3 linked regions of the Sus scrofa genome follow. The protein of the gene in region 1 binds, or shares a complex with, the protein of each later gene. Links are inferred from orthologs where the notes say so. Each region holds a gene or a part of one and is shown in the gene's direction. Other genes may lie near its edges.

Region 1 (8,471 bases):
GCAGGCTTACGTAACAAATTGAATGTGGTCATACAGACATGAAAAAAAATGACTTCTCTTTCTTGAGGTCAAACTAGAAGGAGAAAAGAAAAGTTCAGAGAACACCTTATGACTCAACAGAGTCCAAAAGGAAAAGCTTCATGTGTATATAGCATCCTGTGCACCTCCCTGGAGTCTGTTTAGCCTCCTATTCTATTTGCTTTTGTGTGATTTTCTGCAAAACAAAAGAAACTCATCATGTTCCTCCTTAAAATCATTGTTAAATTTTGCTTTCCCTAGGAGATGAAGTTCACGCTATACATTCTACAGTCTTCTCAATCTTCTCTTCATATTGAGTGAATGGCACTGCCTTTCCATTTCTCCTGAGCATAAGCCTTATCTTATAGAATTCCTACTTGCTTCAGTGCAAGCTACAAACAACAAGATTCCTTGGAGGAAAGACCTGAAGGGAGATGGTGGTGCTTCCTTAGACCAACATGAAGGGAAAGGGAGATGCAATATCTATATTTAATGTCTTCTTCCAGTGATAGATTTTATTTTTCTATTCCCATATTTGTGCAGATAATGCATAGATACCAATCCCTCCAAGTACTGCATCAAAATTTTATATGAACTGAAGAATGTACACATGTAACAAAGGGAGCGTTTTCTTCTTTACTTTCCTTCTGACAAAATGCCAAAAGAAATGGCCAGTCTCTTGCTCAGATGATTGTTCTCATTTTGAAATTTGGCATGGCAGGTGAAGGTGGATTCTTAATGGGATAAAGGGCACTTATTCACAAGGAAATAAAGATGAAGTCATCAATTTCTGAAAAATTGGCATGTGAGGCTGGCTTGCCAGGGAAACAGATAAGCCACACCCCCTTCCATCCTGCCCAAATGAAAAGCTTATATTACCTAATGTATTAAGCTCTGTCACCATTAGGTTAAAACCATTTTATAGATGATTGGGTTATCTGGCTATATTATTAGTTGCAATTTATTAGCAGTTGGCTGTTGTAGTTTTACTACATTGCAAATTTTGTTTAAGATGTCTTGCCTGGTTAAGAGTTATACTGGCATATCCTCAGGCAGAAAAACAAGTTCTTACAATAGATTCTTCAGGGAATACTATATTCTATTTCTCTTAGATGGGTTATCTTTTGTTGTCCTGAGGTTCACTTTGGGAGAGACAGAAAATTATGAAGCTCAAGTTAACAAGCAAGTAGCAAAGCCTTAGAAGACTACAGGGTTCATGATCCTTGACACTCCTTGCCACTTGAAAATGGTGCCCTTGCAGACTCCTTCTACAGCAATGGACCAGCAACAGAAACAATTCTTGACATTTAATGACCACACGTAGCACATTGCAGCTGGTGTTCTATCCACAGCTTCTTGTCCTCAACTTAGCCAGTACATAGTTTTAAGCATCCTAGAACTGTATTTCAGACCCATAGCTCAAATAGTCAATTTTGCAACACTAAAATGGTCTTAAAACAGGATTTTACTCTGGGGGGAAAACTCTCAACCAGATAGTCACAGTGTACTTTGAATGACTAATTTAAGCCATTACATTACAAAATAAGGGATAAATCATAACACTACCATATAGGAACAGTTTTAATTTAAGAGTCAAGCGCCTACATTAATCTGAGTCTAAAATAATAGGTCCTTGATTTAAAATCTCCTAACATTCTTTCACACTTCATAAAACTAAAAATAAAATCGTCTCAGCAAACACTGACCTGTTAGTCCAGCCAAAGTACTGTATTTCAAGGAAAACTGGAGCAAGAGGTCTCAAAACTACTAAGTGCCAGCAGTTTACTGTTTGTAGGCTTAACTGGTCTTAAACGTGGCCTGGAGGCCAAGAGACTATGGACTGGAGAGAAAAAGAGATTTATTCCCCTTCTTAAATCAAAAGCAGATTCCATGCTTCAACTGCCCCCTAACTCGCCCGCCCTGCCCCCACGAGGTTGTTTTCACCTATTTTTGTATATATTTTACGCGAAGATGACAGGTGAGGAAAGGTTAAAGTGCTGTGTCTGGTCCACAAAGTAAACAGAGGGGTTAGGGCGGTGTTATTTATTTACAAGGCATTCAGCCTCTCAGCTGTTTTTCCCTTTTTGGCGTTTGGAAGCTAGCAGTCCTTTAGAAAAAAAAGACAGTTTTGGCAGGAATGTTCTTTGTGCCCGCCTTCCTTTTTACGGGAGAGAAAGGGAACAGATTTATAATTACAGCCTTGTGGCGGGGGGGCAAGAGAAAAAGTTTCGTGCGGGACATCGATGCCTCTTTTTTTTTTTTTTTTAAATGGCCAATACCTTGCCACAAGCAGCTTTGGTGCCACTCGGAACCGCCCGCCCACCCCACCCTGTCGCCCCCTCCCCTTCCCTCTGCAGGCTCGCTCAGGCAGGCGGAGGCGCAGTTAAATTCCAGCACCTTCTTTACATACCCCCAAACTACTACGAGCTATTACTACGGCTGCCCTCCCTTTCGCTGCCTCCTCCCCTTCCCAGCGTCCCGGGAGGAGCCTCGCAGCGGCCCTGGGAGAAGACTGTCAGCATGGGATAACGGGCGCCCAACTCCGTCAAGGCTCTGGGCTTTCCGCATCCTGCGCAGTTTCTCTGCTCAGGCGCAAACACAGCTCAGAGCCGGCGCCTTGCAAACCCACACGGATCCACGCATACAGTAGAGCTGTCTCGATCCACATTCTTGCACACCGCCCCCTCCGCTCCCCCCCCACCCCCCGAGCTCAGGGAGTCGCTGAGCGGGGCGAGTGACAGACGCGTCCCGCCAACCCGCGTCCGGGCGGGCAGGGAGGAGCGGCGCGAGGGGCCAACAGCGGCGCGTCTTCCGGCGCCCAAGGAGGCGGCGAGGGTGGGACACGGGGCGGAGCCGGAGTTTAGGAAGAGGAGGGGATGGCTGTCATCAATGAAGTCATATTCATAATCTAGTCCTCTCTCCCTCGGTTTCTGTACTCTGGGTGACTCAGAGAGGAAAGAGATTCAGCCAGCACACTCCTCGCGAGCAAGGTAAATATAACTTACAACTCCTTTCTCCTCTTTCCCCTCCCTCTGGCCTCCCGGCTGCAGACGCCGCATAAACCCCTCAGGCACCGCGCCGCCTTCGCCGGGGATCGTTCATTATTATCCTAATTATTATTTATTGTGCATGCACGGAGACCAAAACAAACAGGCGGGCCAACCGCCACAACAACAACAAAAAAAGCCCGCCTCCTCCCCGCGGGCCTCAGGTGGAATGCTCTAACAACAGCTCCCGGGCAGCGGTGGAAGGAACGGGAAAGTTTCAACCGAACCTTACTGTTCTGATAATAACAGTAATAATTATTACTTAAAGGAGGCAAGGGGAGGAAAATCCCACCAAAACACAGCCTTGACCCTAGGTAGGCAGTCAGCGATGCACTGCCAACTCAAGGTTGTAGCACACACATACACTCGGCAAGGTTGCAATCCCTCCATTCCCTTAAAAGCTGGGGTGGTGAGGGAGGAGGCAGGAGGATCGGGGGAATAGGATGGAAACGCGACAGTTCTTCCAGAGCAGTCCTCCCCGGAAGAGTTGGAAGGAGAGCAGGAGAGGAGGGCGAGAAGCCCGGGCTGCCGGCGGGGATCCAACGAACGCGGCTGACACCCGCTTCCTGGGGACTTGTTTAAAGGGCTCCGGCTGCGGAGACGCGAGAGGATCGCGGCGGGAGAAGCCGGAGCTGGCGCGCCAAAGCGGCGGCAGTCAACGCCGCGGGGCCGGTGCGTGCGGGATCTGAGGTGTCACCTCCACTTTGCGCGTTCCCTCGGGCGGGGATGGGGACGCTGACCGGTAGGCAGGCCTTTAGGCAAAAGGGCTGCTGGGGGGCTGTGTCTGGGGCACTACGGACGTCCTGGTACCTGGCGGCCGCGCGGGCTCGGGTGTTGAAGTTCGGGTGTCCGGCCGGGGCCGCACTGCTGGGAGGGAAGAGGCCGGATAGAAGGAGGTCGGAGGTGCCCGCCGGGCTCAGTTATCCGCCCTCTCCCTTCCCGGGTTTGTTTTCTTTTGCTTTGCGCCTTCCCCTAGCTTGAGCCGCGGGAACCGAGGGCGTGGGTCGCGGGTGATCATCCGGGTGCTAGGGGCGCGCTGGGGCCGGGGAGAGCCACGGTGACTGCGGGCCGGGGAGGCCATGATCCGGATAATCCTCTCTGCCTGACTGTCACAAACAGGACCCGCGCGCACCCGGCAGCGGCGGTGGCATTCGCCTGAGAAGGGGAAGGGCTGAGGGGTGGGGGGTGGATAGGGTGGCTGGCGAGGGCGGGAGGCGGGGAGACCGGGTGGGAGCCTCCTCCCAATGATGACACGCTCCCCTTCCTTCTCCTTCCTTGCTTTCGAGTTTGATTTATTCCCATCCCAACCTGGTTTACCCCTTCCTCCGCTCTCCCCCTCCATCTGGCCGTCTTCCCTCCTTCTGTTTGCGTTGCAAAACACGGCCATGCCATCTGCAAAGGTGTCGCGATGCACTTCCCCAAATAACCAGTCCTGCGCGCCAGCCCCTACTCGCCCTCCGTCTGCGGGCGCACACCAAGCAGGGCGCCCCGGGTGCCCCGCAGCAGGCCTTGCAGCCTGGCGCAGTTGCACCGCGCGGGGCGGGGTGCAACAGTGCGGGCTTAAGAGGGACACCAGCGTCTGACTCCCGGCACTCGGGTCGGTTTCCGGTACACGCGGGGAAATAGCCTCCTGCCTATGTCTGCGCGCTCGCCCCCGCCCCTGCCGCCTGGATTGCATTATTATTTTTATCCGGGTTGCAGTTTGCAGCGGATCCTGGTGAGCGCGGGGCTGGCCGGACTGCTAGGGGGGTGGGGGTGGCGGGGTGGAGGGAAGTTGGACGTGGATCAAGCTGGAAAAAAAAGTTTGGCAGGGAGGCTAAGTAGGGAGGGAGGGTGGGAGGGAGCAGCGAGCTCCCACAGCTCGCGTCTCCGCTCGGGGTCGGCTCGAGTGTGTCTGCGCGTGAGTGTGAGTGTGTGTTGTGCGCGCCGGGGCTAGTGCGTTGGGAGCAGTGGCGCGGGCAGCCGCTCCTGCCCGCGCCCTGCCCGGGAGCGGAGGAGGACAAGGCGAGGTTTGGTGGCGGGGGATGGTGGGGGTGGCGTGTGCGTGTGGCTGTGAGTGTGAGTGTGCGCGGGCGAGCGGCAGAGAATCAGGAAGTCACAGCAGCGAAGCGCACACAGACATGTTTGATCGCCGTGACATGACGCGCGCGAGGGAGGAAGCGGCAGCGGCAGTGGCGGCGGGGGCCGGGCGGCGGGCTCCGGCGCGGGCCTAGGAATCCGGCGGGGAGACCCGCTCCGGGCCGCCGGCCGCGCCGCCTCTGTAGGCTCGCAGAGCCCAGTGCCTCTTTTTGTTCCGCGTCCCCCAGGTAAGGAGCCTGCGCCGCCGCCGCCGGCCGAGTGTGGAGCTTTCCACCTCTTTCCCGGCGGCCCCCTCCAGTCTCCCGGCTCGCCTTTCCTGCAAAGTCAGGCAGGCTGGGGAAACCCAGTCCCTGCCCTCAGATCGATCGCTTGGAAAACTTTTCAGCGGGAGGTACAACAAGGGGAAGAAAAAGGCCGCACTGGCTGCTGTCCCTTGTCAGTCCTTTCTCCTCCCGGTCCAGAGTAGATTCGCGGCGCCCTGGGGCTGTTGCACATTCAAACTTCGGGCCTAAACGCGCTTGCAACTCTCGCAGGATTTACTCCAGGAATAAAATTAATATTCAAAATCGCCCACTTGATCCTGCCAGGCTTTGGGATTTTTTAAAAGCAGGAGACAGGTTGGGGGGTCGAGGGAAGTGGGGGTGTCGTGCAGAATCCATGCCTTCTTTAATGTCTGCAGCGGGTGTTATGTAATTTTAGTAGCACATGGGTGCAAAGCCCATACTGGGCTTCTTCCCTTCTTTGTTTATATAACTTCTGGGAGAGTTTTGCAAGGTTGTCGCCTCCACCCCCCTTCACCTGATGGAGGTTAGTGCTTGTGCTAAAGCAAAGCCACCTGGGTGAGTATTTTATGGAGAGGTGTCATCGGTATCTCCTGGTTATTTTGTAGATTGTGTTCCTAACTGTGTGTGATGTTAGAGCATAAGAAAGACTTCAAGGATACACGTTTGTCTACTGCATTGAGTGCTTATTTTTTTATTTTTTATTTTTTTACTGTCTCTGCATTACCAATAGCAGAGTTAAATTTTAAACTTCCATTTCAAAGGACTTTTTAATTTACACCTGGCTGTGCCATGCTTGTAGGAAGAGAATGCTCATAGGGACAGAAAGATTGTTGCATGTTGAGTGGAAGAAAATTCCTGTCTCATCATCTAGGTAAGACTCAGAAATCTCTGAGAGCTGTCCTAAAATAGAAACCATGCCTAGCAGTTGCTTGTGTATTCTTATATGTGCACATTGAAATGTTTCAGTAATATTTCCCCTCACTTATAGGGGGGACCACTACCCCAGGCTTGTTTGCCAACACTCCACTTGGTAGACTTCTAAGCCTATTTCTAGCACACTGGTGAAATGTTAAGAGGTGTGTCAGGTTTGAATCCTCCTCAGTGCATTGTTATGCAAATAGAGGCACACTTTCTCTTTTAGGAATCTAATTGCCCTTTTATTCTCTTGGACTTTTTTTTTTTTAATGCTCCCTGACAGCTCAAATACTTGCTACCAGAAAGAGAGGATTTGGAAATACCCATAAGGTACAAAAGGTATTTATTGATGTGACTTGAAGGAAAAAACCAACCTGTAGACAGCCTCCTCTCTTCCTTGTTGGGGGCCTTAGAGAGAAAACCCATCTTGAAGAACATTGTGAAATAAATTAGGAGTTTGTGGTATCAGAACCCTTAAAGAATTGGCAGAAGTGAGGAAATGCTCCCTTCAATGCAGCTTTTCTCTCCTGAGTGACACCAGTTACATCCCAGCTTTGGGACTAGCTGCACTGTGGTGTTTCACAGAAAATATTCACCGCAAGAGTGTGTTCAAAGCAGCCTTAGATCTTTTCTTTTGTTCGTTTTTTTTTAAAGTGGTTTTTGAGCATTTCTTGTCAAGTTTCTTAAAAAGTGCTTTGACCAACACCTGAGGCTTGGAATTGACCAGAAAAAAAAAAAAAAAAAGTAAGTGCCTCTGTGCCTGTTAATGTTTGGATTCTGTTTAAGCTATTTCTGACAGTAGAGAAAGTAACACTCTGACAAATAATTGTTTAAAACTTTTTTCTTTGATTAAGATAAGTTATTTTACAGATGAGCATAAAAGCACATCCCATGCTTTTCTAGAGATAATTGTAATATACCCCTTATATTACGGTAATATTTTGACATTTCATTTTAAAGGCTTATTATGTATTGCAACAAGACCATAAAAGAGAAGACTCATTTATTATAAAAGCTGCCATTCCCCAGTGTTTTCATGTTTTTTTTTTTCTTTTAGAAATCTTCCTTTGTAAACAAGGCCTTTGTCAAACTCTCCTAGGTCAGCAGCTTTTTGATACTCTAGAGAAATAATAAATCACTATTTAAGACATCTTGACATGGTGCCATGAGAACAACTGAATTATCACAAATATAATACCAAGGAGTGCTTCCCAGAACTATGTATTGAGACTGTGTTGGTAGAACCTGATTTAGCCACCAGAAGTTTTGATTTTCACTATTTGTGGTTATGATGATTTTAAGGGAAATCGTGGACAATTCATTGCTTAACATGAATGGCATTAGAAAACTCTGTATAAATGAGTCACGTTTCTTCTTTTGCAGTATTTTTTGGTGAATAGATGAGAAAGTTTCCCTAATGTTAAAAGCCATTTTGAGGAGCAACTTCTGATTTTTTTTTCTTGTCACTCTTTTCTGTTAAAAAATGATCATTTCAATTGCTCCTTTTTCTTAAATATGTTCTGAAGATTATTTTTGAACAACAGAGGAGACTGAATTTTCTGTCATCTTTGGAAGGGTTTGTTTATGGAACTTGAATCTCTAGTCAGTTAATAAAGTCATGGATCATTCCAGAAGTAGTTGGGAATAGAAAATATAGATGGTTGTTAAGTTATTTGGTAGAATATTTAGGGAGGCCTGGGATGTTTATTTTTTCTACTTAAAAAAGTCCTGACTTTATATTAACCATGGAGGATAGGAGACTAAAACTTAGTTCTGCCAGAGTCATTATGGAAGATAGAATATTTATTTGCCTAAGATATTTATCACCAAGTTAAATGGGTTCCTGCAACCTGGGTTTGGAGAACTTTACAAATGTATTACTGTTTATTATTACTTTTTTCATATTAATATAGCGCTTTTCCTTGAAAGTGTTTAGATATATTAGAGATTTTAAGTATTACAAGTTTTAAAGATACAATCAAAGATACTTGAATAATTACACTTTAGCAAGACATGTAATACTGCTGATGAAATTCAGGAGCTAAATAGCTGAATCTTTTGAGTGTTGGATATAAACATTAATTAATTTTAATTATGTGTGAAAAAGTAATTAATTCACTCATTTGGA
Region 2 (7,401 bases), on another chromosome or scaffold:
GGGTTCTGGGTTTTTTGGATATGTGTGTGGATATGTGTTTAGTTTCTTTTATTCCACACTAGGTATCTTTAGATATTTGGGTCTTTGAGTGTGTGTGCCTGTTCTTTGAAACTGTGCATCATTTGTGCTCTGTGTCTTTGGATATGTAGGTGTGCATGTATTTATGAGCAAGTTTTTGTGTGAAGATGGGTTGATTTGTCTGTTTCTATGCTGTGTATGTATGTATCTTTGTGTGCTCCAATAGGTGATATTTGAGATGTTGGTTTCTGTACTGTGTGCCTTTGTGAATATGTGTGTGTATCCTGTGTGAATATGTGTGATTTCTTTGTATAGCGTATCTGGATAGTGTGTGTGTTTTGTGTCTTTGGCTATGTGTGTACATGCATATGTGGGTAGTTTGTTTTCCTGTTTTTTTCTCTTTTAACATTTGTGTATCTAAGTGTGTCTTTGAATGCATGAGTGAGTGTGTGTGTGGTGTGTGATCTGTTTGCATGCTGTGTGTCTTTAGATATGTGATGTATATTTGAGCACGGGTATGTGTGTGATCTGTCTCTACTTGAGATATTTGTGTTTTTCAGTAGATGTTTGTGTGTGCACATATGTGAGATGTGTCTGTTTCTCCTTTGTGAGTCTTGGGATGTGTGTTTCTTTGTGTGTGAATCCCGTGTGACTCTATGTGATTCGTTTGTGTTGTGTATTTGGACATGTGCCTGTATGGATGGGTCCCAGTGTATTTTTGTCTGTTTCTATATTGTGTGTGTTTGTATCCACTCCTTGGCTGGGGACCTGCTTGAATCCCAGCTGGGGGGCTCCTGGGTCCAGGAGCCACAGGAGGGGAGAGGGGAGGTTGGAGGAGTCCGCCCACCCATTCCCTACGAGCGGGTGGGGGAGGGGTGCTGGGCGACCTGGTGGGCTGCCCTTGCTGACAGCTGCCCGCCCGCTCACCCGCCCCTCGCAGCCTAGGCGAGGACTTCTACCGGGAGGCCATCGAGCACTGCCGCAGCTACAACGCGCGTCTGTGCGCCGAGCGCAGCCTGCGCCTGCCCTTCCTCGACTCGCAGACCGGCGTGGCCCAGAACAACTGCTACATCTGGATGGAGAAGACCCACCGCGGGCCGGGTACCCACCGGGAGGGCGGGGGCGGGGCGGGGCGGGGCGGGGCGGTGGCTGCGCGGCCTTGTTCTTACCGCCTTTCTCACGCCAGGTTTGGCCCCGGGGCAGATCTATACGTACCCCGCCCGCTGTTGGAGAAAGAAACGGAGACTCAACATCCTGGAGGACCCCAGACTCCGGCCCTGCGAGTACAAGATCGGTGGGTGGAGCTTCGTCCTGTGCTCGGGGTGGCTCCCATCAGTGCCCACAGCACGCTTGCTAAGTGTGTGCTGATGCTGATGTTGTCTGAGCGTTCACCTCTATTCCCCTCCCAAAGTGTCTGAGTGGCTGGCTGTGTGTCTGCCAGTGTGTGTCTGGCTGTAGTCCAGAGCTTCCCCGGTTCTCCCTGAGTGACTGAACTTTGGACTGTACTTTCTCCTGACTGGGCCCCAGCCTATTCTAGGACAGAGTGGTATCTGTCATGTGTGTGCAGGTGTATCCAGTCTTTGTATCTCTTCCTTGTGGGCTGTATTTCTTTCTGTGGATGTCTGAATGTGTCTGGATGTGTGAGAGTGTTTGGTCGTAACTGTCCATTTGTAGTAGAGTGTATCTCAGTATTTGTGTCTCTTTTCAGGTGTTTCTAAGTGTATTAGAAGGTTTATTTCCTCTTGCGTGTGTCTGGTTTGAGGGTCCAACTGTTCCTGAGAGTCAGTGTATCAGGGTGTCCAACTGTCTCTTCCTTTCAGTGCCAGATGCTTTGGAAGGTCTGGGAGAAGCTCTTCCCCAAGTATCTGATCCACTAGGTGTACATGGGCTGCCTGCCTCCTGAGTCTCTGGCCTTAGCACTTCTTGACTGTGTCCCCTACTATTAGATCACTGGCTGTTTCTCTTTCCTTGTCCAAGTAGATCCAGGGTTCTGTGTGGGGCCAGGTGTATTGGAGTGTCTATCTGGCGGTGTCTGACTGCCCCAGAGGGACTGTCTCTATGTCCTATGTGTGTGTATCCACCCTGGTGACTCTCTCTAGGTGTGTCTCTGTTTCCCCTAAGAATGTTCAGGTGTTTGCTAGGGTCTGGCTGTGTCTTCCTCTTGTGGGTCTGGGCATATCTGATGGTCTAATGGTCCCTTTCTGAGTGTCTCTGGGTGGACCCAAGGGTCTGGATATTTTCCTCCATGGGTCCAGGTGTATCTGAGCATCAGGGTGTGTCTCTTCCCTTGTGGGGCTGGCTGTCGCAGATGATCCATGTGGAGCTCCCTTGCGTGTGTCCCCGTGGGTCCTGTTTGGGTGTCTGTTCTCTCCAGGTGTAGGGGTCTGGGTGGAGTCTCCTATACGTATGTAGGTATATCAGAGGGTCTGGCCACATCTCCTGCTGAGTGTGCCCAAGCGGCTCTGAGGGTCTGGCTGTGTCTTCCCCAGGGTCCAGTCCCCTTTCCAGTGCATGTGGTTGAGTCTCTGAGTCTATTGCCAGTGGAGTGTGGGAAGCCTCTTCCCACCAGCAAAGAGCATGACTCCCCAGCCTGGGCAGTGTGAGGAGTCCTCTGGGGACAACCTCTCCACTTGACCCCACCCCCACCCCCATGGCCTCATCCCCAGACTGTGAGGCGCCCTTGAAGAAGGAGGGTGGTCTCCCGGAAGGACCAGTCCTTGAGGCTCTACTGTGTGCTGAGACGGGGGAGAAGAAGATAGAGCTGAAGGAGGAGGAGACCATTATGGACTGTCAGGTAGCCCCCCCAACTCCCACCCCGGCGGCGCCCCCACCCCGGTGGCCGCAGCTGCCTTCTCACCCCTGCCTCCTGCCCCGGCCCATCCCATTCCTGCTCTGAGATCTCCACTGGCTCCCTAGGTCCTTCAGGCATCCTAAGTCTCCATCCTTCCACACCTCATCTCTTTTTGGGAGACCTTCTGACTTGCCCTGCCACCCCCAATCTCCTCTATGCAGAACCATCCCCCCAAAGCAGAACAGTGTCCCGTTTTCTTAACCCCAATCTCCCTTCTCCTGATGCCCAGAAACAGCAGCTGCTGGAGTTTCCACACGATCTCGAAGTGGAAGACTTGGAGGATGACATTCCCAGGAGGAAGAACAGGGCCAAAGGAAAGGTATCACCCCAAAGTTTCTGCTCCTCACCCCTCCCCTCAACGCGGATCCCATTTATTGAGGCTGCACAATGTTCAGACCCTGCCCCAGTCTGATCTCATTTAATCCCCAGAGCAGCCTCAAGGGGTAGGGGATTTTTATACCCATTTTGCAGATGAGGAAATTGAGGCGTGGATCTATGAAACCATTTGCAAAATATAGACTGCCCAGTGGGTTAGAACTATCCTCATACCTGTACGACTGATCGAGGTCAAGGGAGTTACTCAAGGCCCACAGTTAGGTAGCGGCAGAGCTGTGATTTGCATTTCCGGCCCAAATGAGGAAAATTCTTTTAGTTTGCTCCTTTTCTTGGCCCCTCACTCCAGACTCTTCCCCAGGCATATGGCATCGGAGGTCTCCGGAAACGCCAGGACACCGCTTCCCTGGAGGACCGAGACAAGCCGTATGTCTGTGATAGTGAGTCCTTCTGAAGAGGGGGGAAGAGAGAGAGTGGGGCCCAGAGACCTGGCCCCTCCCAGCCCCCTCCCTCCTGTTCTGGACCCTGGTGGGGGGGGATGCACAGGCCTCTGGCAGAGGGAGGAGATGTGATCCCGGAGGCCAGGGTGGAGGCGGCATGGGCTGGGAGGGGGCTGACCGGCCCTCCCTGCTCACTCTTCAGTCTGTGGGAAACGGTATAAGAACCGGCCAGGGCTCAGCTACCACTACACCCACACCCACCTGGCTGAGGAGGAGGGGGAGGAGAACGCCGAACGCCACGCCCTGCCCTTCCACCGGAAAAACAACCATAAACGTGAGCAGGCGGGCAGGGCGTGGGGTGGTGAGGGGCCCTGCGAGTGGGGGCTAGCAGCCCGGGAGGGAGGGGGCACGTTAGACATTTCTGGAAAAGCCCCAGCTCAGCGGTCCCCTCCCCCCACCGACCATGGGGATGCTGGCTCTGGGGTTGCCATGACAACCAACCATCTCTCCCTCGCTCCCGGCCGGGCGTAATATTTCTGGGTCTGATTTATTGTTTCAATTAGAGCTTGGGGAGGGGGGTGATAGATGACTCCCCTCCGTCCCTGCCTCCCTTTCTCCGTTCTCTGCTAAGCCTGGGCCAAGGGGCAGGGTCTGTGGCCCGGGAACTCTTGGTGGCTGCCCATGCCAGTCCGGTGCCAACCCTGACAGCTGAGGGATGGGGGAAGGCTTGGAGCAGGGAGGCTGTGCCAGTGGAGAAACCATCTTCCCACCCATCCCTTGGCGGGAGAGGGCACTCTCTTCATCTCATCCCCACTACACACCCAGCCACCTCTGTGTGCAGAATTTTCCTCCTGAAATGCCTGTTTCCATATGAGATCTTGGCCAGTGGGATCTGCCTAATTTTTATTTTGGGGCTTTGTTGGGGGTGGCTGTCTGGTAGAAGTGTGTGTGCGTGGGGAAGTGGGGGGCTCTTCCTAAAGCTGTATCTGCCAGGCTTTTACCTAATAAAGAGGATGCAGCAGTTGTGCTCAAAGAGTTGGGGGGTCCTGATGAGAATTATTTGTTCACAGCTTGGGGTAGCCACTCCCTCTCCCCTCCCCCTCCATGCCTGGACAAGGGCTCCGCCCCTGGGGCTGAGGCTGGGGGCAGGGTGGAGCCTTGCCTATGGTGAGAGCCCCTCTCTCTGTCCCCCCCACCCCCAGAGTTTTACAAAGAATTGGCCTGGGTCCCCGAGGCACAGAGGAAACACACAGGTAGGGACGCTTCCCCCCGCCCCGACTTTTGCAGCAGCCTTTGACCGAATGCCCCTGCCTTGCCCACGCCAAGCCCTGCCCGCTGTCTTTCAGCCAAGAAGGCACCTGACGGCACTGTCATCCCCAACGGCTACTGTGACTTCTGCCTGGGTGGCTCCAAGAAGACGGGGTGTCCCGAGGACCTCATCTCCTGTGCCGACTGTGGGCGATCAGGTGATGCCCCCACCTGAGGCTTCTGGGGGCCAGGGTCCAGATCTGGAGGCTAGGAGGTGGAGGAGTGAGGACTGGGGGGGATGCAGAGCATCTGGGGGACCCCGAGGATCACTGCTGAGCATGACGGGAAACAGTGGGTTCGGGGAGGCTCTGGGAATAAGGGGCTGTGGTGGTTCTGGCGTTGCGAGTACTGCTACCTGCTTACCATGGCGTGGGGAGCAGTAAAAGAGGGTGGCCAGAACCTCGTGGGGAGCGGGCTGCGATAGCAAGTCATGGATTACCACTGCCTGGGTGTTGTGGATGACTGAGAGCGCTTGCCACCGAGGTGTGGTTAATAGAAAGCGGTTTCCCGAGGTGGACCTGTGGGCAGTAGCCTGCGGTTGCCTCAGCACGGTGGCCAATGAATCGTGGTTGTTATGGTATTACGGGCAGTGAAATACAGTTGTGACAATTGGGTGTAGTGGAAGGTAGTTGTCGTGGCCCCGGGTAGCGGCTGGGTGTCTGCACGGGGGTGGGGGGATGGCCAGGGGGTTGGCCCACTGCATAGTCACGTGGGTAACGGTGTGGTGGTTGGGGCATCATGTGTAATGGGCTTGGGTCGCAGGGAACCAGAGCGTGGAGACCCCTCTGTGGAAGGCGGTTGCCATGGCATCGTGGCTGGGAGGCTGGGGTTGCCACGTGCCCGCGGTTCACAGGGCGGGCTGGCCATCCTGCTGTGGGTAATGGAATGCAGCTGCTCAGCGCAGTGGTTAACAGAATGTGGCTGCCCCGGTGTTGTGGGTGGTGGAAAGGGGTTGCCACAGCACTGTGGGTAATGGAATGCGGTTGCCATGGTGTTCTGGGGAGCAGAGTGTGGTTGCCATGGTGGCTGGGTAGGAGACTGGTGGCCACGGCAGCACTGCCTGAGGGACGGGCACTGGGCACCGGGGCTGGGTGGGGTCAGCCTGTGGGCCTTGTGAGCCAGGGGTAGGGGCTGAGCCATTTCACTTCCAGGGGTCAGTAGCCACCAGGGGCACAACGACCCCTAACCGCATCTCTGCCCCTCGGCCCCCAGGACACCCCTCGTGTTTACAGTTCACGGTGAACATGACGGCGGCCGTGCGAACCTACCGTTGGCAGTGCATCGAGTGCAAGTCCTGCAGCCTGTGTGGCACCTCCGAGAACGACGTGAGTGCCCACCCCCCTCCCCGGGACACGCCCCCGGAGCCGCCTCCCTCCAGCACCTCCGGCTTTGCCAGTTGGGTCTAAAGCCTTTCCTGAAGCCCCCTCCCTGGTGAACCCAGTAACCTGTACCATGATTATTAGTTAGTGTCCATTAGTTGAGCCTGGCACTTACTACTCTTCACTCTCCGACTCCTCCCAACCACCCTGAGGTAGAGGGAGGGAGCTCAGAGAGGGGAGCAGACTTGCCCAAGGTCACCCGGCTAAGAAGATGGCACAGCTGGGACCTGACACCGCATCCATTGCTTCTGACCGCCCCAGTGTCATTTTCAGTGTGCCATAGAACCTTAGAAAACCCAAACGACAAACCGCAAACTGACAGTCCTCAGGGGCGTTTCACTCACAGGGTTTTGCCAAGATGACCTCCTCAGAGCCCTCTGTCCTGGAAGGGACCACCTCCCCCAGCCCCTTTGACCTGTCCCCTGCCCCAGCCCCCCCACCCCGGTTTCTGGTACCCGTGCCCCCAGGGTGCCAGCTGGGCGGGTCTCACCCCCCAGGACCAGCTGCTGTTTTGTGACGACTGTGATCGGGGTTACCACATGTACTGCCTGAGTCCCCCCATGGCGGAGCCCCCAGAAGGTGAGCGAAGAGGAGGCCTGGGGGGGTGGGGGAGGGTTGGCAGGTGGACTTCCTGCTGGGGAAGATGGTGCCCGCCGGTGGTGGGCGGGGGTGGGGGCAGCCGTGCCCAGACCCAGGTCTTACTCCCTGTCCTCGGGCCACCCTACAGGGAGCTGGAGTTGTCACCTCTGTCTTCGGCACCTGAAAGAGAAGGCCTCTGCCTACATCACCCTCACCTAGGCCTGCTCTGGCTCACCTGGACCTCTGGGGTGGTGCTTGCCTACCTGAGTCTCCTCCCGGAGCTCCTCCACTCTCTCCCCATCCTTAATGCCCCACAGCGGGAGGGGCGGGCGAGCCTGAGGGGGGCGGGGCCACCCCCTCCCCTCCGTGCAAGTGGAATGCTTGCCCTGTGGGTTGGTGGGCCCAGCTGGGCCCTCTCCTTCCTCCCTCCTTCCCCACCCCTTGGCAAATGGGCACCAGGGGCTTCTGCTCCCCTCAAAGCCATACCCCGCCT
Region 3 (7,814 bases), about 220 Mb from region 1:
CGTGTGCAGAATGCGTGCCGTACTTTTTTAAAAGTATTGGTCCTGGAGTTTCCTGGTGGCTCAGCAGGTTAAGGATCTGGCCTTGTCACTGCTCTGTTACTCCTGTGGCACAGGTTCAGTCCCTGGCCTGGGAACTTCTGCAGGCCGCAGGTGCGGCCAAAAACAACAAAACCCCAAGAAACTGTTGGCCCTTAACTCTGATTATCTCCATGTTTTGTTTGTGATTTTCCTCTCATAAATATTTTAATGCAACTTTTTAATGTGAAACCGGGAGCGTTCATCTCAGCACTTGACGTAATCTGATGCGATGAATTTTGAAAATTGCCCGTGTGACTTAAGTGTGTGTGCTGATGCTTTTGGTGAAATTTGGAGTGACTCTGTAATATTTCTAGTAGATTGAATTTGAAAACTAAGATCTGCAATATATTGAAAAGTCCTTTGTGTTTCTCATCTGATATCCTATGTTAATTGCCAGCAGTTCGAGTGTCACATTATTTAGCAGTTGTTTCTAGGAAAGGGTTATAAACTTATATATGGGACATAGAATCTTAGAAAAATTTTTGATTGAAAATTGATTTTTTCTTGCCTTTGCAACTTTGGTAATCGATTTCTTTTTAATTGTTTGACTTTATGAGTGGTATTTTTAATTATTTTTGAATGTATTAAAATGTTTTGCTTTAATTTTGGAAAACCTCTAATATGTGGAGTAGTTTGAAGGAAAAGAATATTTTGAAAGCTGTGTTCACTTTGCCTTCAAAGGGCTTCTTCACCTTTTTTTTTTGGGTCTGAAATAGGTTTAACAGCACTGCGCAGTGATGAAGTAATTGATTTAATGATAAAAGAATATCCAGCCAAACACGCTGAATATTCTGTTATTCTACAAGAAAAAGAACGCCAGCGGATTACGGATCATTACAAGGAGTATTCGGTAGGTGTTGAGGGGGCCGGTGCCTGCGGTTTGGGGAAGTGCCAGGTTATAAGGGTACAGTCCCTTGCACTGTCGTGTTTTTATTTCAGCAAATGCAACAACAGAACACTCAGAAAGTTGAAGCCAGCAAAGTGCCCGAGTACATTAAGAAAGCTGCCAGGAAGGCCGCAGAGTTCAACAGCCACCTGAACCGGGAGCGGATGGAGGAGAGAAGAGCGTACTTCGACCTGCAGACGCACGTAGGCCCCGCTCGGCCGGCCGCCCGCCCGCTGTGTGGACGGCTCAGCGCCTCGCGCGGCGCTTTTGTGCCCGCGGGGCGTCCTGCTCCCTGGGGCTCGGGCTGTCACTTGCAGGCGCCCGTTGTCCCCGGTGCCCCCGTGGTGGGGGGGTGCCTCTGGCGTTCGGTGGACAGTCTCCTGAAGGAGACTAGGAGCCAGCTGGCCACGCGCGTGTCCGTGGGTGGACGCCAGCGTCCCTGTCCCCCCGGGAGGCTGGAAGGAGCAGTGGTTCTTTTCCTAGATGAGGACGTTGCAGGCTGAGGTCTAGGGTAGCAGGTCACCCTGCCGTTCCCTGGTGAGCAGACGGGTCACCGGTGCCACTGGGCGTGCCCCGCCCTCAGGCTCCAGCCCCGTGTGGCCCTGTGTCTAGCTTTTGGGGGAGGGAGGCAGCGGATTATTTTCGCGAGGCTTTGGTTCCTTGCGTGGCATCAGGCTCGCCCTTCTCTTCACGTTCACAGGTCATCCAGGTGCCTCAAGGGCAGTACAGGGTGTTACCGACGGAGCGGACCAAGGTCAGTTCCTACCCGGTGGCCCTCATCCCCGGACAGTTCCAGGAATATTACAAAAGGTAGGCGGTGGTGGCGGCCCTGCCCTGGGAGTTGCCGGGGGCTGCGAAGCCCTGTGTTTGCCACTCGGGTGGGGTGGGACGTGCGTCGGGAGCTTCCGCTTGTGCCTCTGTGGAGAGGAGTGCCTGTGTCAGAACCGGAACACCTGCCTGCCTGGGGGTGTGTCTGTGGGCAGGTGCCAGGGCTTCTCTAGACCTCCCACCTGAAAGGATGGCCCCCTGGCCCCGCAGCGCCTGTGTCACCTGGGAGCTTAGTGGGAAGGCGGACTGCCGGGCACAGCCCAGGCCTTCCCAGATGCGGACGCGAGCGAGGAGGGTGGCCACCTGGGGCTCCTGCTGCGTCACTGCCCTGGCCTGGCTGCTGCCTCCGCTCCCCGTCCCTCCCTCCCAGCCTGGATGGAACCGAAAACAGGGCTTCCGGCACCCCAGCTTTTGCTGCATGAGAAACCTTATGTTCTTTGGGATGGAGAATATTCTTTCGACAAGTATTGAAAGTAGACTCTAGGATAGTGCTTTTTGAAAGTCGGATTTAAATCATGGGCCAGCACTTTGTCTTGCTTTCTAGAGCTGTACCTGCAGCATGTGGAGGGTCCCAGGCTAGGAGTCTAATCGGAGCTGCAGCTGCCGGCCTCCACCACAGCCACAGCAACACAGGATCTGAGCTGCGTCTTCGACCCGCACCATGGCTCACGGCAGTGCCGATCCTTCACCCACTGAGCGAGGCCAGGGATCAGACTCAGATCCTCATGGGTACTGGTTGGGAGCTCCATGGGTTAGCCGATTTTGAATCTTTGGGGGCTGTGTAAATGATGGAGCGACGCGTCCATGGACCAGCGTCTTTGCCGTCTGGGGTGTCTTGGTTGAGGGAGATGCTGACCCGGTGTCCGTTCCTGACGGGGGTTCCCAGGATGCTGCCTCCTGGCCTGAGACGGAGCGCTGGTCCTATGGGGGTGGCACGGACATGGGCAGCGGCCCTGTGCCCGCCAGCTTGGGGAGGGGCTGCTGGTCCCTAGTTTCAGATAAAATAGATGGTTGAATTCGTGAGAATACATGCCTCATAAATTGGTTTACAGTGATTCGTCAGAGGATCTTGCCTCTTAAATGCCAGCACGCACCACGCGCTGCTGTGCTGTGCAGGTGCCCGAGCGGTTCACGCCCCTCTTCGCTCTGCAGGTCGACCGGGCAGAGGCCCTCGGGCAGCCTGGGTTTTGTGCCCGTTCCGTGCTGTCGCTGTCGCCGTCGCCGTCGGTCCTGGTTTGCTGATGTCTTTGAAGGGCCATGGGTGAAGGAGAGACGCGTTCGCTTCGGGCAACAGCAGTCAAATGTCTGCCTTACTTAGTCGGGTGGAAAACATTTTGACTTTATGTATGACTTGTCCAATGTGATAACCAAAATGAAACGTTTATTTCCTCCAGTCATTTTTCAAAAACATTTGGGGTTAATTGAAAAGATGAAGGTTATTTTCGTCGTTCAAAATCGGTCCACACGTTTTGAATAATAAAGGAAAACAAAGTCCTTTGAATTTCAGGTACTCTCCGGATGAGCTGCGCTATTTGCCATTAAACACAGCGCTTTACGAGCCCCCGCTGGATCCTGAGCTGCCGGCTCTCGATAGTGACGGTGACTCAGATGAAGCCGAGGATGGTCGGGCCGATGAGAGACGGAAGGACAAAGGCACTTCGGTAAGAACGTGTCTCTCAGGAGGAGGTGCTTCCTTCCCTTTGAATTTGGCTTTCCTGGAATGGCAAGCTGAAATAGCATCACCACGCTTGTTGTGAAAAAGGATCGCTGTGTATGATTTCCAGAAAGCGTCTTCCATCAGGGGAAGTTACTGTTATGGGTTGATACGGGCCAGCGGTGCGTGGCCTTTGGCGGGTTTTGTCCTGAAAGCTGCCCCTCCGTGGTCTTCACCAGTGGGTTGGGCAGGGCCCAGACACTTAACAGCCCCGTACTGATGTGCGGGTTGGGGGAGCACGTGAGCGGTGTTCCTGCTGCTTCAGCAACCGTCACTGGCCTCTTCTGGGAAAATGTTAAGGTTACCAGCGTTTTGTGCTGTTGGGTGTCTTGCATGAGTTTCTTTTTGTGGCAAGTGCAGCTGCAGAACAGTGGGGATGCCGGTGTGCCAGGTGGGACGGAAGGAAGGAGAACAAACGCGGTCGTTCAGGGTTGTGTTTTGTTTTCCCTTTCTTTTCAGGCCCCACTTCGGCTCGTGGAAGTTCCCGGGCTAGGGGTGGAGTCCGAGCTGCATCTGCGCCCTACACCACAGCCACAGCAACACCGGATCCTTAACCCACTGAGCAAGGCCAGGGATCGAACCTGAATCCTCACAGATGCTAGTTGGGTTCATAACCCACGGAGCCATGATGGGAACTCTGGGTTTTGTTTTTTTTTAGCTCGGCTGCAGCATGCGGAAGTTCCCAGGCCAGGGGTCGAACCCAAGCCACAGCAGTGACAACGCTGGGTCCTTAACCTGCTGGCCACCAGGGAATTCTGCATCTGTCCATTTCCCACTTTCTCTGCAGCCAACCTGAACCTGAGAATGTGCCACCGTTTCTGGGCACTGAGTTTCCTCCTAACGGCCAGCTTCTGGGCGTGTTTAACGGTACCTGTTGCGTAACGTAACCTGCGCCTCCGCTGTCAAAGCGGTGAGAGCCCGTCTTCTGCTGTTTGGCTCAGGGGAGCCGGGGTGTCCTGAGGGTGAGACGCGGTGGCTTCCTCCCATACCGCTAGGAGAAGAGCTGCCAAGCCAGTTTGGGGCCAGGCGTTTTCCCGGTCCCTACCAAGATTTTTAACTTCCGCAGACCTTGACTTGGCAAATAGGCGAATGGATTTTATTTGAAGAATCTGATCAGATGGTAACAAAGTTTAATTAGGAAAAAATATTCATTGGAGTGTTAACAGTAGTTTCTGTAGTGGGAATTGGAAGTCTAACGTCTGTTACACAGTAGAAGTGCAGTTCAAAGAGTGTCTAATGGTGTGAGGAAGTGCACATAACACTTAGGGTTGAAACACACACACACATGCCCACACATACAGGGTAATTCACTTCTGTGCTTTAAAAGAAGAGGGCACGCATGGAGGTAGGTCGTGTGTGTGAGTGTGAACGTGGGTAGCTGTGTGAACAAGCACGTCACTGGAAAAGGAAAAGGCGACACATGCATCCTGTGAGCTGTCTCAGTGTCTCCCAAGCCGCCTGCGGATAACCTGACGTTTTCATTTATAATCTTCATAATTTATATGAACATAACATTTTTATTCTACTTAGAAGATTTTAAGTTAAGGAGTTTCCGTCATGGTGCAGTGGAAACGAATCCGACTGGGAACCTGGGAACCGTGAGGTCGAGGGTTCAATCCCTGGCCTCGCTGAGTGGGTTAAGGATCTGGCGTGGCTGTGGTGGAGGCCGGCAGCTGTAGCTCCGATCAGACCCCTGGCCTGGGAACTTCCATAGGCCTCAGGTGCAGCCCTAAAAAAAAAAAAAAGGGAATGTTAAATTAAGAAATGAAGAGTTAAATGATCAATCATCCAACTCCGAAACTCTGAACACGTGAAGTACGTCTGATACTGTTGTAAATACTTGGTGACACCGGCCCCCGCGGAGTTTAACGTTACCAAGACGCCCTTGTGGGCTTGAAGGACTTCTTTCGGGACCTCCATTACTTGGTAAAAACACCTGCACGTCCGTGGGGCAGTTTCTTAGTTTCTTTTTAAAGACCGTGTGTGAAACGAACATGTGCCCTGCTGTGCAGCTGGGTGGCGTGGCAGCAGCTGGAGCAGGTAGTTCTGTTCCTGGTGACTCAAGTCTGAAAACAAAGAGTTTTTCCCGTCTTTTTAGGGCCGCACCCGCGGCACACGGAGGTTCCCAGGCTAGGGGTGGAATCAGAGCTGCAGCCGCCGGCCTCCACCACAGCCACAGCAGCTCCAGATCCAAGCCACGTCTGCCACCTACACCACAGCTCATGACGGCCCCAGATCCTCCACCCACTGAGCGAGGCCGGGATCGAACCCGCAACCTCATCGGGTTCGCAGTCAGATTCGTTTCCGCTGCGCCCCGACGGGAACTCCCGAAAACAAAGTCGAATAAGGCACCTGCGGGTGTGCATAGACTTCGCTTTATGCTATGACGTATTGCTCCGAGGACAGTGGTGTTTAACTGGACTCGTTTTAGTCTCCGCTGGCGAACGTTTTCTTCGGTTAGAATTATCCTTTTATCTTTTAATCGACGGAAGCCCAGTGTCCTCTGTGGTGTCCGCAGTGGAGACCGGGACCAGCAGGTGTGCAAGGGACCTTTGTCTGTGCCTCTGACTTGCAGGACAGCTCCTCGGGCAACGTGTCCGAGGGCGAGGGCCTCCCCGACGGCCAGGAGGAGCCGGCACAGGGACGGCAGAGGCCCAGGGACAAGGCGGCCGCGCCGAGAAAAGACGCCGCGAAGCGCTCCGCGCCGAGCAAGGCTGCGCCCGGGTACAAGGTAGAAGAAAAAAGCCCCGACCCCGCCTCCCTGCTGGCCAGCCTGTCCCCCTGACGGCTCCGCGCCGAGCGTCCTGCGCCCGGCCCTCAGCCTCCTTCCTTCTCGCTTTGTGTGCCTGGTGGCTTTCCTATCACTTGGGCTGGGGTTGAGCGTCTCTTTTCTGTACGTGGACAATTTGTGAGCGAATCTTTTTTTCTTTTAAATGGTGACCAGGCAGGTCTGAGCTTTTGAGAAGTTATCTAACAGGCAGAACCTGAAGCTTTGTTGCCTTGGGGTGAAAGTCGTAGCCGTCTGAGTTGAAAGCACCCTGGTATTTAGCGAAGCTGAGCAGGTGGCGGGTGGGGAGCCCCCGACCAGCGGCCTGTCTGTGGCCGGCCGGGAAGAAAGATCTGGGCTTAGTCTAAGGATCATTTGCTCGTCTGCCAAATGCAGCCACCCTTGCGCTGCAGAGCAGTGGAAGTGCTGTGGGCATTGTGCTGTTTTAGCCCAAGCTGGGCATGTGGCCCGTCGGGACCCCGCCTGGGCTGCTCGGTGATGTGCTCCGATGTTCTCGTGAGCGTTTAGGGCTGGCTGTCCTCGGAGTCGGGTGGCGGGCGGCAGCAGTGTCATCCTGCCCGCAGAGGGCCGCGGGGAGGGAGTCGCCTTATTCGCAAGGGGGGCTTTAGAATATTGGAGAAGGAGGAGCGGCAGCTGCAGCGGCAGTAGGAAAACACACAGTTTTCCGTGGGCTGCGTATCAGCATGAACTCTCGGCTGGTTATGGAGGTGTTTTGAAGGCGCGTTTTAGAGTAAGGCGATGAACTCGTTTCGCCGAGTGGAGTTGCTGGAGCCCTGAGTGTGTCAGATGGGGACTCTGGTGTGTCATCTGGGGGAGCAGGTTCAGCGGCCACGGGCCCTTCCAGCAGCCTGGCCCCTTGCTCTCCCCGGAGCGAAAGGGCAGCTTCGGTCGGCGGGCTCCGAACTTCCCTAGAAAAGGCCTCCCCGGGGTCCGCTTCCGAGACGTGTGTTTCAGCCCATTGCAGCAATAAGGGCACCTTCAGGGCTTCAGTCATGTAGTTTTCATTCTTGTTCTTACAGATACAGCTTATCTAATTTTTAAGATAAATATTTAAGCTACTGCTTCGTAATTAAAAGCAAATGCACTCCAAAGATTAAACACCGGAAAGTGAGCCTGCTGTGTGCTAGGTGTGCTTCTGGCCCGAGAAGCGCCGAGAATGGGAGTTGCAGCCAGAAGCACACTGTTGGCGCCGAGCAGACCTTTCCGACAGGAAGCCTGGATTAATCATGGGTTAAAAAAAAGGGTTTTGCAATAGACGACTTCACGGAGGCTGAAAGTGAAGAACTAGTCAATGCTGTCACTGATTTAAGGTAAAGAAATCATATAGCTTAACCTAATTTGATATACTCAAGGGAGTCTGATATGCAAAGTGCACAGTTTATAATCTTCTCTGAACATTTTTAGTACCTAAAAATGTTTCATGTATTTCAAAGTTTGGAACAACCAGTATCTAGCTTAATACATTAATGTGAACATGTTTATTAAAAGTTAACCTCTTTATGAAAAGTATTAATAAGCCA

The links.
Region 2: SMARCA2 (region 1) and DPF1 share a complex: the UniProt entries of both Homo sapiens proteins name them as parts of the neuron-specific chromatin remodeling complex. The link is inferred for Sus scrofa from reciprocal best matches to the Homo sapiens genes SMARCA2 and DPF1.
Region 3: SMARCA2 (region 1) and PHF10 share a complex: the UniProt entries of both Homo sapiens proteins name them as parts of the neural progenitors-specific chromatin remodeling complex. The link is inferred for Sus scrofa from reciprocal best matches to the Homo sapiens genes SMARCA2 and PHF10.

What each region holds. Positions count from the first base shown.
Region 1 is NC_010443.5:219,809,821-219,818,291, reverse strand, and holds the start of SMARCA2 (probable global transcription activator SNF2L2), read left to right. Parts: upstream 1-2,870; 5' UTR 2,871-3,008; intron 3,009-3,649; exon of another isoform or gene 3,650-3,807; intron 3,808-4,480; exon of another isoform or gene 4,481-4,782; intron 4,783-4,914; exon of another isoform or gene 4,915-5,371; intron 5,372-8,471. UniProt on the Homo sapiens protein: ATPase involved in transcriptional activation and repression of select genes by chromatin remodeling (alteration of DNA-nucleosome topology).
Region 2 is NC_010448.4:47,142,778-47,150,178, reverse strand, and holds part of DPF1 (zinc finger protein neuro-d4), read left to right. Parts: intron 1-958; coding exon 959-1,119; intron 1,120-1,204; coding exon 1,205-1,312; intron 1,313-2,684; coding exon 2,685-2,812; intron 2,813-3,098; coding exon 3,099-3,188; intron 3,189-3,563; coding exon 3,564-3,642; intron 3,643-3,844; coding exon 3,845-3,976; intron 3,977-4,844; coding exon 4,845-4,895; intron 4,896-4,988; coding exon 4,989-5,108; intron 5,109-6,162; coding exon 6,163-6,275; intron 6,276-6,796; coding exon 6,797-6,908; intron 6,909-7,056; coding exon 7,057-7,127; 3' UTR 7,128-7,401. UniProt on the Homo sapiens protein: May have an important role in developing neurons by participating in regulation of cell survival, possibly as a neurospecific transcription factor. Belongs to the neuron-specific chromatin remodeling complex (nBAF complex).
Region 3 is NC_010443.5:564,400-572,213, forward strand, and holds part of PHF10 (PHD finger protein 10), read left to right. Parts: intron 1-794; coding exon 795-928; intron 929-1,017; coding exon 1,018-1,167; intron 1,168-1,664; coding exon 1,665-1,774; intron 1,775-3,299; coding exon 3,300-3,453; intron 3,454-6,081; coding exon 6,082-6,237; intron 6,238-7,814. UniProt on the Homo sapiens protein: Involved in transcription activity regulation by chromatin remodeling. Belongs to the neural progenitors-specific chromatin remodeling complex (npBAF complex) and is required for the proliferation of neural progenitors.